2 linked regions of the Macaca fascicularis genome follow. The protein of the gene in region 2 binds, or shares a complex with, the protein of the main gene of each other region. Links are inferred from orthologs where the notes say so. Each region holds a gene or a part of one and is shown on either strand. Other genes may lie near its edges.

Evidence for each region. The genes of interacting proteins can lie anywhere in the genome.
Region 1: ARPC4 (region 2) and ARPC3 share a complex: the UniProt entries of both Homo sapiens proteins name them as parts of the arp2/3 complex. The link is inferred for Macaca fascicularis from reciprocal best matches to the Homo sapiens genes ARPC4 and ARPC3.

Annotation. Positions count from the first base shown.
Region 1 is NC_088385.1:117,307,241-117,311,959, forward strand, and holds the end of ARPC3 (actin-related protein 2/3 complex subunit 3), read right to left. Parts: intron 3,796-4,719; coding exon 3,727-3,795; intron 3,294-3,726; coding exon 3,167-3,293; intron 2,816-3,166; coding exon 2,721-2,815; intron 1,818-2,720; coding exon 1,755-1,817; 3' UTR 1,491-1,754; downstream 1-1,490. UniProt on the Homo sapiens protein: Component of the Arp2/3 complex, a multiprotein complex that mediates actin polymerization upon stimulation by nucleation-promoting factor (NPF).
Region 2 is NC_088376.1:148,053,529-148,059,027, reverse strand, and holds the start of ARPC4 (actin-related protein 2/3 complex subunit 4), read right to left. Parts: upstream 3,414-5,499; 5' UTR 3,405-3,413; coding exon 3,237-3,404; coding exon of another isoform or gene 3,230-3,236; intron 1-3,229. Other genes in the region: TADA3 (transcriptional adapter 3), read left to right, coding at 4,949-5,155. UniProt on the Homo sapiens protein: Actin-binding component of the Arp2/3 complex, a multiprotein complex that mediates actin polymerization upon stimulation by nucleation-promoting factor (NPF).

The DNA of each region.
Region 1 (4,719 bases), on a different chromosome or scaffold from region 2:
GTCTTTAAACAGATGCTCAACAGCATTTAACTCATATATTAAAACAATATATTCACTCGTAAAACCGAAATGCAAATACTTTTATTTTTTTGAGACGGAGTCTCACTCTGTCACCCAGGCGGGAGTGCAGTGGCCGGATCTCGGCTCACTGCAAGCTCTGCCTCCCGTGTTTACGCCATTCTCCTGCCTCAGCCTCCCGAGTAGCTGGGACTACAGGCGCCCGCCACCTCGCCCGGCTAGTTTTTTGTACTTTTTAGTAGAGACGAGGTTTCACCGTGTTCGCCAGGATGGTCTCGATCTCCTGACCTCGTGATCTGCCCATCTCGGCCTCCCAAAGTGCTGGGATTACAGGCTTGAGCCACTGCACCCGGCCTGCAAATACTTTAGTCGTTCAAGTACCACCATAAATTTTAGGTTTTTGTTTCGTTTTTTTTTGAGACAAAGTTTTGCTCTTGTTGCCCAGGCTGGAGTGCAATGGTGCTATCTCAGCTCACTGCAACCTTCGGCTCACCGTAACGTCTGCCTCCTGGGTTTACGCAATTCTCCTGCCTCAGCCTCCCGAGTAGCTGGGATTACAGGCATGTGCCACCACGCCCAGCTGAGTTATTTATTTTTTTTTGAGACGGAGTTTCGCTTTTGTTGCCCAAGCTGGAGTGCAATGGTACGATCTCGGCTCACTGCAACCTCTGCCTCCTGGGTTCAAGTGATTCTCCTGTATCAGCCTCCCGAGTAGCTGAGATTACAGGCGCATGCCACCATGCCCGGCTAATTTTTGTATTTTTAGTAGAGACAGGGTTTCATCATATTGGTTAGGCTGGTCTTGTACTCCTGACCTCGGGTAAGCCGCCCACCTGGGCCTTGCAAAGTGCTGGGATTACTGGCATGAGCCACAGCGCCCAGCCCGGCTGATTTTTGTGTTTTTAGTTGAGACCGGGTTTCTCTGTGTTGGTCAGGCTAGTCTTGAACTCCTGACCTCAGGTGATTCGCCCATCTGGGCCTCCCAAAGTGCTGGGATTACAGGCGTGATCCACTGCGCCCAGCCATATTAGTATATTTTATTGCGTACACATACACAGAAAGAAAAAAAAAGAAAAAGAGAAAAGAAAGCACTGATGTATATGCTCTAACATGGGTGAATTTGAAAACATTAAGTCAAAGAAGCTGGACATAAAAGGCCACATGTTGTATAAAAAATTCAATTTACATGAATTATCCAGAATGAGCAAATTCATAGAGACAGAAAGTAGATTAATACTGGGAGGAGAGTGGGAAGGACAGGGGCTTGGGGAGGAATGTGGGGTGGGGTGGCTGCTAAAGTGTGCAGGTTCATTACACTGGGGTGATGAAAATGCTCTGGATTTAGTGGTGATGGTTGCAAAACTTCATGTATATACTAAAAAAAGTAAATTGTACACTTTAAAAGGGTACTATGGAATGTGAATTTTATCTTAAAACAAATTGTAAGTGAATGTCAAAGACAGGCAATAAAGTTTTTCTTACATGGAATGTTAGAAATTTCTTTATTATGACTTATTCTTATTAAGTGCCAGCTTAATGCTGCAGAAAACTTCAAATCACCCTTGATAACCCATTTTCTTGTCTCCCACCCAAATTACTGATCAAGAGTTTTTCAAGTAAAGACATGCTCTTCTCTCTTCTGTATAAAACTTTACGAAATAAAGGCAAAAGATTGTGTACATCTCGCTGGAAAATGCTGCCCAGGGCTCTGGAGACGGTGGCTGCCCGGGTTCCCTTCACTGTCCAGGTCCTGAAAGACTCTTGTTCATGAACTGTCTCTTCACAAAGCAAGTCCACCACTAACAAGAGGGGACAACAAAGAATGAATGGTGGGAGTCAAATTACAATAGAATTCGCATTTATTTAATAATAAAATTTCATATCAGTCTGAAATCTCTTATAAACCTTTTTTTTTTTTTTTTTTGAGATGGAGTCTAGCTCTGTTGCCCAGGCTGGAGGGCAGTGGCGCGATCTTGGCTCACTGCAAGCTCTGCCTCCTGGGTTCATGTCATTCTCCTGCCTCAGCCTCCCCAGTAGCTGGGACTATAGGCGCCCGCCACCGTGCCTGGCTAATTTTTTGTATTTTTTAGTAGAGATGGGGTCTCACTGTGTTAGCCAGGATGGTCTTGATCTCCTGACCTCGTGATCCGCCTGCCTCGGCCTCCCAAAGTGCTGGGATTACAGGCGTGAGCCACCGCGCCTGGCCATAAACTCTTTTTGCCTGGCCATAAACTCTTTTTAGACAAAGTCTCACTCTGTCATTCAGGCTGGAGTGCAATGGCATGATCTTGGCTCACTGCAACCTCCACTTCCTGGGTTCAAGTGACTCTCGTCTCAGCCTCCCGAGTAGCTGGGATGACAGGAGTGTGCCATCATGCCTGGCTAATTTTTTATATTTTTAAAAGAGGTGGGGTTTCACCATGTTGGCCAGGTAGTCTCGAACTCCTGAACTCAAGTGATCCACTGCCTCGTCCTCCCAAAGTGTTGGGATTACAGGCGTGAGCCACTGTGCCCGGCCTGCAATTCATTATTTAGTGTGATTCAGTAAACTCATATTACATACTAGACACATACTGGAAGTTAAGCAACACTGCAATGCAGAAATTAAAAATATTCTTGCAATGGAAGACCTTAGTGTGTTCAATGGTGGCTATTGGATAAAAGGTGATTTACCAATTAAGCAGGCAAGAAGAGGGTCTTACCTTGCTAGGTTTATCATTCTGAGGGTCAAAAACTTTCTCACAAAGTCTCAGTCCAGTCTCTTGCCTTAGCTGTTGTAAATAGGCTCTCATCACTTCTAAAACAGAACAATTTTAAAAAACTGTATTTGCAAATACATCCCAAATGTACTGGTTGCAGGTCTGTATGCTCACTGTGGTAATACATTTTTATACATTCTAACAGGATATGAAATAGAAATGACAGTCCAAAGAGTTTTATAACTACATTTGTTTTTGTTCAAAAGATTTTCTGCATGTCATCCTTGTTGCCAAGAATTGTTTGTGAGAGTGACTAATAAGATAATGTACTTCCTATCATTTCACTCTCAATCTGTATATGAATCAAGGCAAGAAAAGGAGGGGTGGTAGGAAGTCAGATGGAGAAAATCTTCTTGTGCCATAGAGAGAGGATAGAGACCTGTTCTTACCATCTTCCTGTTTGTTTGCAGGTTTGGCATAAATTGCGTTAAGTGGAAAACCAGGCTCTCCAGGAATGGGAAAATTAGTGATTCCCAATGTATACATTTCTTTTTCACCTTGGCTTTTGGAATTGCACTGAAAAAAAAAAAAAAAATATATATATATATATATATACACACACATACACACACACACACACACACACACACACACACACACACACACACACACACACACACACATATTTTACAGGGAAAAGAATTCCATCCTTGGACCCCAGGTTAAGAACCCTTGAGCCAAGGGATTAAAAGGAATTTCTCTGTCAAGATTTCTGTCTTGAGAAAATATATGCAAAGGCTTAAAACATCACTACTTTTATCTTTGTGTCAGTCAATTATACTACAAGTTCAGAGAACTAAATTCAAATTTTTCTCTTAAGTCCATGCTGTAAGTCAGAGGAAATATTTTCTACTTGTCTTTAAAGTCTCAACAAATCCCAGATGACTGGGAGGGTAAATGCCTCTCAGCAATTTGTTTTCCTGATATATAATCATCCAAGTTTAATTACCTTTTGGAGTTTCTTCAGACATTCAGAAATATAGAGAGTTATATATATCAAGGTCCTATCAGCTTCATTCTACAGGGAGAAAAAGAAGACTTAAAAACAGTTATCAAAACATAACAATGATATGCAATGAATGAATTCCATCTTTGTCTTCTGATTATCTACTGGATGCAGTGGTAGGACAGCCACTATCACATCAAAACTCCTATTCTCCAAACGCACAGTCTCCTCAGTCTCCTTTTCCATTTGTCCCTGGGAGGAAGGCACAAGCCCCACTCTGAGCTGTGCGGCTGCTCTTTTTTGTTTTGTTTTGTTTTTTTGAGACGGAGTCTTGCTCTATTGCCCAGGCTGGAGTGCAGTGGCACAATCTCGGCTCACTGCAACCTCCACCTCCCAGGTTCAAGCAATTTTCTTGCCTCAGCCTCCCAAGTAGCTGGGATTACAGGTGCCCACCACCATGCCTGGCTAATTTTTCTATTTTTAGGAGAGACAGGGTTTCATCATGTTGGCCAGGTTGGTCTCAAACTTCTGACCTCAAGTGATCTGCCCACCTCAGCCTCCCAAAGTGCTGGGATTACAGGCATGAGCCACTACGCTTGTCTGAGTGGCTGCTCTCTCTTGTCCCGGGGTTCCCAAGGATCTGTGTCAACAGCCCTTCACTGTGTAGGAAGGAGAAGTAACAAGGCTGCCTGGAAAGCCTGAGCTGCTCCATATGGTTGGCTAATCTTTAAAAACCCTTTCACTTCAGGGTCTCCGCTGAGAACAGAAATATTTATTACTCTAAAAGAGGAAGCAACTATTTCACATTTGACTTGCTCCCAAAGAACTCCATAATGTCAATGTCTTGACTTAACCAAAAAGAAAATGTGGAGAAGACAAATGAAAGTTGATCAAATGTGGCATGGACTTTGGGTCAAATTTTACACAAATTTAGGCCAGGTGCAGTGGCTTACACCTGTAATCCCAGCACTTTGGGAGGCTGAGGTGGGTGGATTG
Region 2 (5,499 bases):
ATTTTTATTTATTTATTTTGAGACAGAGTTTCGCTTCTGTTGCCCAGCCTGGAGTGCAGTGGCGCGATCTCTGCTCACTGCAATCTCCGCCTCCTGGGTTGAAGCCTTTCTCCTGCCTCAGCCTCGCGAGTAGCTGGGATTACAGGTGTACACCACCATGCCCGGCTAATTTTTGTATTTTTAGTAGAGATGGGGTTTCACCATGTTAGCCATGGTTGTCTTCAAATCCTGACCTCAGGCAGTCCGCCCACTTCAGCCTCCCAAAGTGTTGGGATTACAGGCGTGAGCCAATGTGCCTGGCCTTTATTTTTTTTTTATTTTATTTTTGAGACAGAGTCTCACTCTGTTGCCCAGGCTGGAGTGCAGTGGTACAATCTTGGCTCACTGCAACCTCCACCTCCCGGGTTCAAGTGATTTACCTGCCTCAGTCACACAAACAGCTGAGATTACAAGTGTGCAGCACCGTGCCTGGCTAACTTTTGTATTTTTAGTAGAGACGGGGTTTTGCCATGTTGCCCAGGCTGGTTTCAATCTCGTGACCTCAAGTGATCCGCCCATCTCGGCCTCCTAAAATGCTGGGATTACAGGCGTGAACCACTGCACCTGGCCTCCTTCATGCCTTTGTAAAGTGATTTCTCCTTTATTAGGCTGTAAACCTCGTGGTCAACAGACCATATTTATTTTACTCACAGCTATATAGCCTCCAACCTAGCTCAGTACGTAACATGTAGAGTGTCTTACTCATTTCCTGTAGAATAAATGAGCAAAAGAAATAATTAAGGTTAGAGTAACACAAAAGGACAGCAAGAGTTCCAGAGTAGTAATGAGTACAATGTTTCTGTATATGAGAAGCATTTTAGATTCACTAAATGAGGCTGCAGTGGTAGACTGAGGTCAGATCATGGGGAATCTTGAATGCCAGACCAAGTTTAGCTTTTCTCTTAAGGGGGTAAGGAACTACTGGGGCTTTCTGAGGAGGAAGTTCATGACTGCAGCTGCATGGTAGCTCTGTGAAGAATGATTTGGAGAGGGAAGTGAGACATACAGCAGACTGTGTCACCAGCAAAGAGTATCACAAGTGTTGGACTGACATTAGATGGAGTGGATAACGGAACTGAAAAACAACTTCCCAGGGGCTTATGCCTGTAATCCCAGCACTTTGGGAGGCCGAGGTGGGTGGATCACCTGAGGTCAGCAGTTCAAGACCAGCTTGGCTAACATGGCAAAACCCTGTCTCTACTAAAAATACAAAAAAATTAGCCACGACGGGTGCCTGTAATCTCAGCTACTTGGGAGGCTGAAGCAGGAGAACTGCTTGAACCCAGGAGACTGAGGTTGCAGTGAGCCGAGATCTGGCCACTGCACTCCAGCCTGGGCGACAGGGAGAGACTGTGTCTTTAAAAAAAAAAAAGAAAAAAACAACTTCCAACGAACTATGGTCCGGTCATTCAATTAAATACTACTTAGCAATAAAAAAGAGTAACTATTGATACACACAACATGGTTGACTCTCACATGTACTATGGTAAGAAGGTACATTTAAAAGCCTGCATACTAAAGCATTCCATTCACATGACAATCTGAAAAAGGCAAAACTATAGGGGTTAAAAAAATCAGTGGTTGTCGGGGGTGGGAAGGAGGAAAGGTGTGATTACAAAAGGGCTCGAGGGAATTTTTTGGGGTGATGGAAATATTCTGTATTTTGGTTGTAGTAGTGGTTACATAACTTGACTTTTTTTTTTTTAAGACACAGGATCTTGCTATATTGTCCAGGCTACAGTGCAGTGGCTATTCACAGGCGTGATCACAGGGTACTACAGCCTCGAACTTCTGGGCTCAAGTGATCCTCCTGCCTAAGCCTCCTGAGCAGATGGTACTACAGGTGCATGCCACCATACCCAGCAAGTTTTTGTCAACACTTTTTTTTTTTTGAGATGGAGTCTCGCTCTGTCGCTGGAGCGACAGGCTGGAGTGCAGTGGCACGATCTCGGCTCACCGCAAGCTCTGCCTCCTGGGTTCACGCCGTTCTCCTGCCCCTGCCCCTGCCTCCCGAGAAGGTGGGACTACAGGCGTCCACCACCACCCTCCCGGCTAATTTTCTGCATTTTTAGTAGAGAAGGGGTTTCACCGTGTTAGCCAGGATGGTCTGGATGGCCTGACCTCGTGATCCGCCCACCTCGACCTCCCAAAGTGCTGGGATTACAAGCGCGAGCCACCGCGCCCGGCCTTTGGCAATAGTTATAGACAGTAAACCTAAAAAAGGTGACTGGCTCCGTGACGCCTGTCCTTTCATGAATAAAACAGACGTAGTCTCATACAATACCTCAAAAAACTTAAATTTTTAAAAATCAAGACGCATGTGCTCCATTAGAAAAAAAAAATCCAGATTTCTAGCAGGGATACGAGTTCACAAAGTTTGCCAGGATAGGGAACTCAGGAGGAAGAGCAAATTTAGAATGGAAGATGAGTTTTGAACTAGAGGTGTAATTTCAAGGTCTCTTCAAGATACCCAGGCAAACCTTCAAAGAGAGCTGAGAAGCCAGATTAGGAGTCATCAGAGTGAAGAAAGTCATCGAAGCCAGCAGACTAGATCGGTATCACCAGGGAAGGTGTGACGATGAGGGAGGTGGTCATCCAAAGTCACAACTCCCAAGAATACCCACATGTATGAAAAAGGGAGGACTTTCAGGAAGGGAGGGATGAGCAGTATCACAGCTAACAAACACTAGGGCTGACACAGTTCAGTTCTGACCAGGAGGGGCCTGAATGGAAGCAACACGAGAGATCCTCCAGTGGGGTGGAAGCAGGGCTGGAGGTACCAAGAGTGGGATAAGGAAGTGTGGCCGCCTGCCTTAAGCAACTGTAGGGTCAGGAAGGCAGAAGACAAAGGGCGTATTTAGTGAAGCTCTACTGTGGACAGGCAGATGGACCCGCTACATGCCTCAGCGGCCCTTCGACGGGCTAAGAGGCCGACTACGTACCCTCGAAACGCTCCAAAGAGCCTAGGAAGCCCCACTTCCAGCTTCCTCCAGGGCTCAGTAAAAGCCCCTACCTGCTTGGAAGGCTGATCACGAAGCCGCAAGGCCCGCTTCAAACCAGGGAGTACCCCTACTCGCCCCTTCCTCACCTCGGGCCCCCGCCCTCTTTCTCCCACCCTCATGGTGTCCCCACAACCCCCGGGCATCCCTCAGCCCCGCGCCCCTGCGGCAAAGCCACATCTCCCACCGACCCACTGCCCTGAGGCTGAACAGCTGGGGGTCCCTGGCCGGGGGCCCGGCTCTCTCACCATCGCGGGCGCTGGCTGGGCCGGAAAGCGGAAGTACGGAAGTGGCCAGCCCCGCGATGCCTGCCCTTTCGCGAGAAGCGCAGCCTCTGTCTCCGCCCGGACTTCCGGATGGTACCATCTATGCTCTGAGCGGGATAGGGAGCCCTTGCGAACGCTTGGCCCTTCCGGAAGTTTTCCACCTAGGGCTGTCTCGGTATCTTTAAACTCTTGCACTCGAGTCACTACTTAAGCTTCTCCAGGAATGGGAGCAGCTCCCCTTTGTGCCTTCGGCCTTCTTGTTACCTTTGCCACAGCCTCCCCCCAGGTATGCAATGGTACAGCCCAGCTTCAGATTGGGCACCAAATTAGGACAAGCTGAAGCGGAGGAGCCCTTCGTTTCTTCCGGTTCTGTGCCCCCATCCTTTCTCTCGCCCCTCCTACCCGCAGCTCCTGGGGCTCAGCGGCGCTAACTGCAGCGCCGAGATCTCCGCCGCCAAGCCCCGCCTCCCGCCTCCCGCCCCGGGCTATGCCCTGGGGCGCGCCTGAGGCCAACCACCCGCACCCCACCTCTAGCGGGCTTGCTCGAGGCCCACCTTCTCCCCACCCCCGGCAAACTTCAGTAGGCTCGCCCTCGCTGACTCCCCGCCCCCGCGTCAACTGCAAGGGGCCCGCCCATAGCCAGTTCCGGGGCGGTTGCTCCCGTCGACCGGAACTCCCCGCCCCCTCCCGCGGCCCTGGGGCCGTAGGAGGCCGCAGTGAGGAGGTAGAGGGGGCGGGGGTCGCGCTAGGGTGTCCCTAGAGAACGAGGACTCTGAAGGCGGGACATTTGGACGACCCCCGGGCGGGGCCAGCCATTAAATAGTCCCATTTCTGTGCCAGACACTGAACTGGGCTCTTGACGGGCATCATCTCTTAATCCTCAGAACATCCCAGGGAGGTAGGTACCGTTGTTATCCCCATTTTTCAGATTCAGACTTTTAATGGGGAAACAGACCGAGACTTCTTTTGTTCCCATTTTACAGATGGAAAAACTGAGACTCAAAAAGGTTAAACAACATGTTCAGGGGCACATAAGTAGAGAATGGTAAAGCCTGGACTTGAACCCGGGTCTGTCTGGCTTACCAGCCCACGTTCTAAACCACTATTAGTGACTAGAGAAGGGAGAAAGGTGGAGTAGGATAAGAAAAGAGGCCAAGAGTCCCAGAGAACATGGTAAGAATGGGGTGCTTGGAACTCAAAGTCTTAGCAGAACCCAAGAGAAATAGAAGGGAAGGAAAGAGCATCAGAAAGGCAAGGCAATGCATAGTAATATAGCATGGTGATCAGGGGTGCAGACTCAATATAGCGGGGTTCAAATTGCATCTTGGAAGCATAGGCACATACCCACCCTTACAGAGTCTCAGTTTCTTTCTCTGTAAAGAGATCACAACGGTCCTTGTTCATGGTGCTGAGTGAGAAATTAAGTGAGATAAGCTGATAAAGTGCTTTGCGCCTAGCTTGGTACACAGTTAAGTGCCCTGTGAGTAGGAACTGTGCCATCAATTTTGTCAGTAAGGGACTGAAGCCTGGCTTGCTTGAGACTGTCCCTGGAGGTAAGAAGCCCTTGGGCTTTTCTCAGACCCCTTTGTCTCCCATCAATGGCCCTGTCCTCTCCAGCCCCACAGGATCCCCATATCCTGGGCCATGAGTGAGTTGAAAGACTGCCCCTTGCAGTTCCATGACTTCAAGTCTGTGGATCACCTGAAGGTCTGTCCCCGCTACACGGCAGTGCTGGCGCGATCCGAGGATGATGGCATCGGCATCGAGGAGCTGGACACCCTGCAGCTGGAGCTTGAGACCCTGCTGTCTTCTGCCAGCCGGCGCCTGCGTGTGCTTGAGGCCGAAACCCAGGTGATACCCCAGAGAGGGGCCATCACCAGAGATGGACTGCAACAAGTTATGGGATGGGTCATTGAGTTAGCTCCATATGCTGAAACCTGGGATACAGGGGTTTGTGGGGAGAGGGAGAGAGACCCAAACTGGGTTTGCATGACACAAAAAATACACAAGAATATGCATGATCCTCTTAAATTGCAAGATTTCTAATTCGGTACACTTTTTTTGGCATCCCCCCACCCATCCCCCATTATGTTCTGGGTTCTACGCTAGTCATTAGAGAAAGGTAATTAGGACAGTTTTGGCTGTCAAGGAGCTTGCCAACTAGGAAAGGGAGAAAGTCAGGTGCATACCAGGTG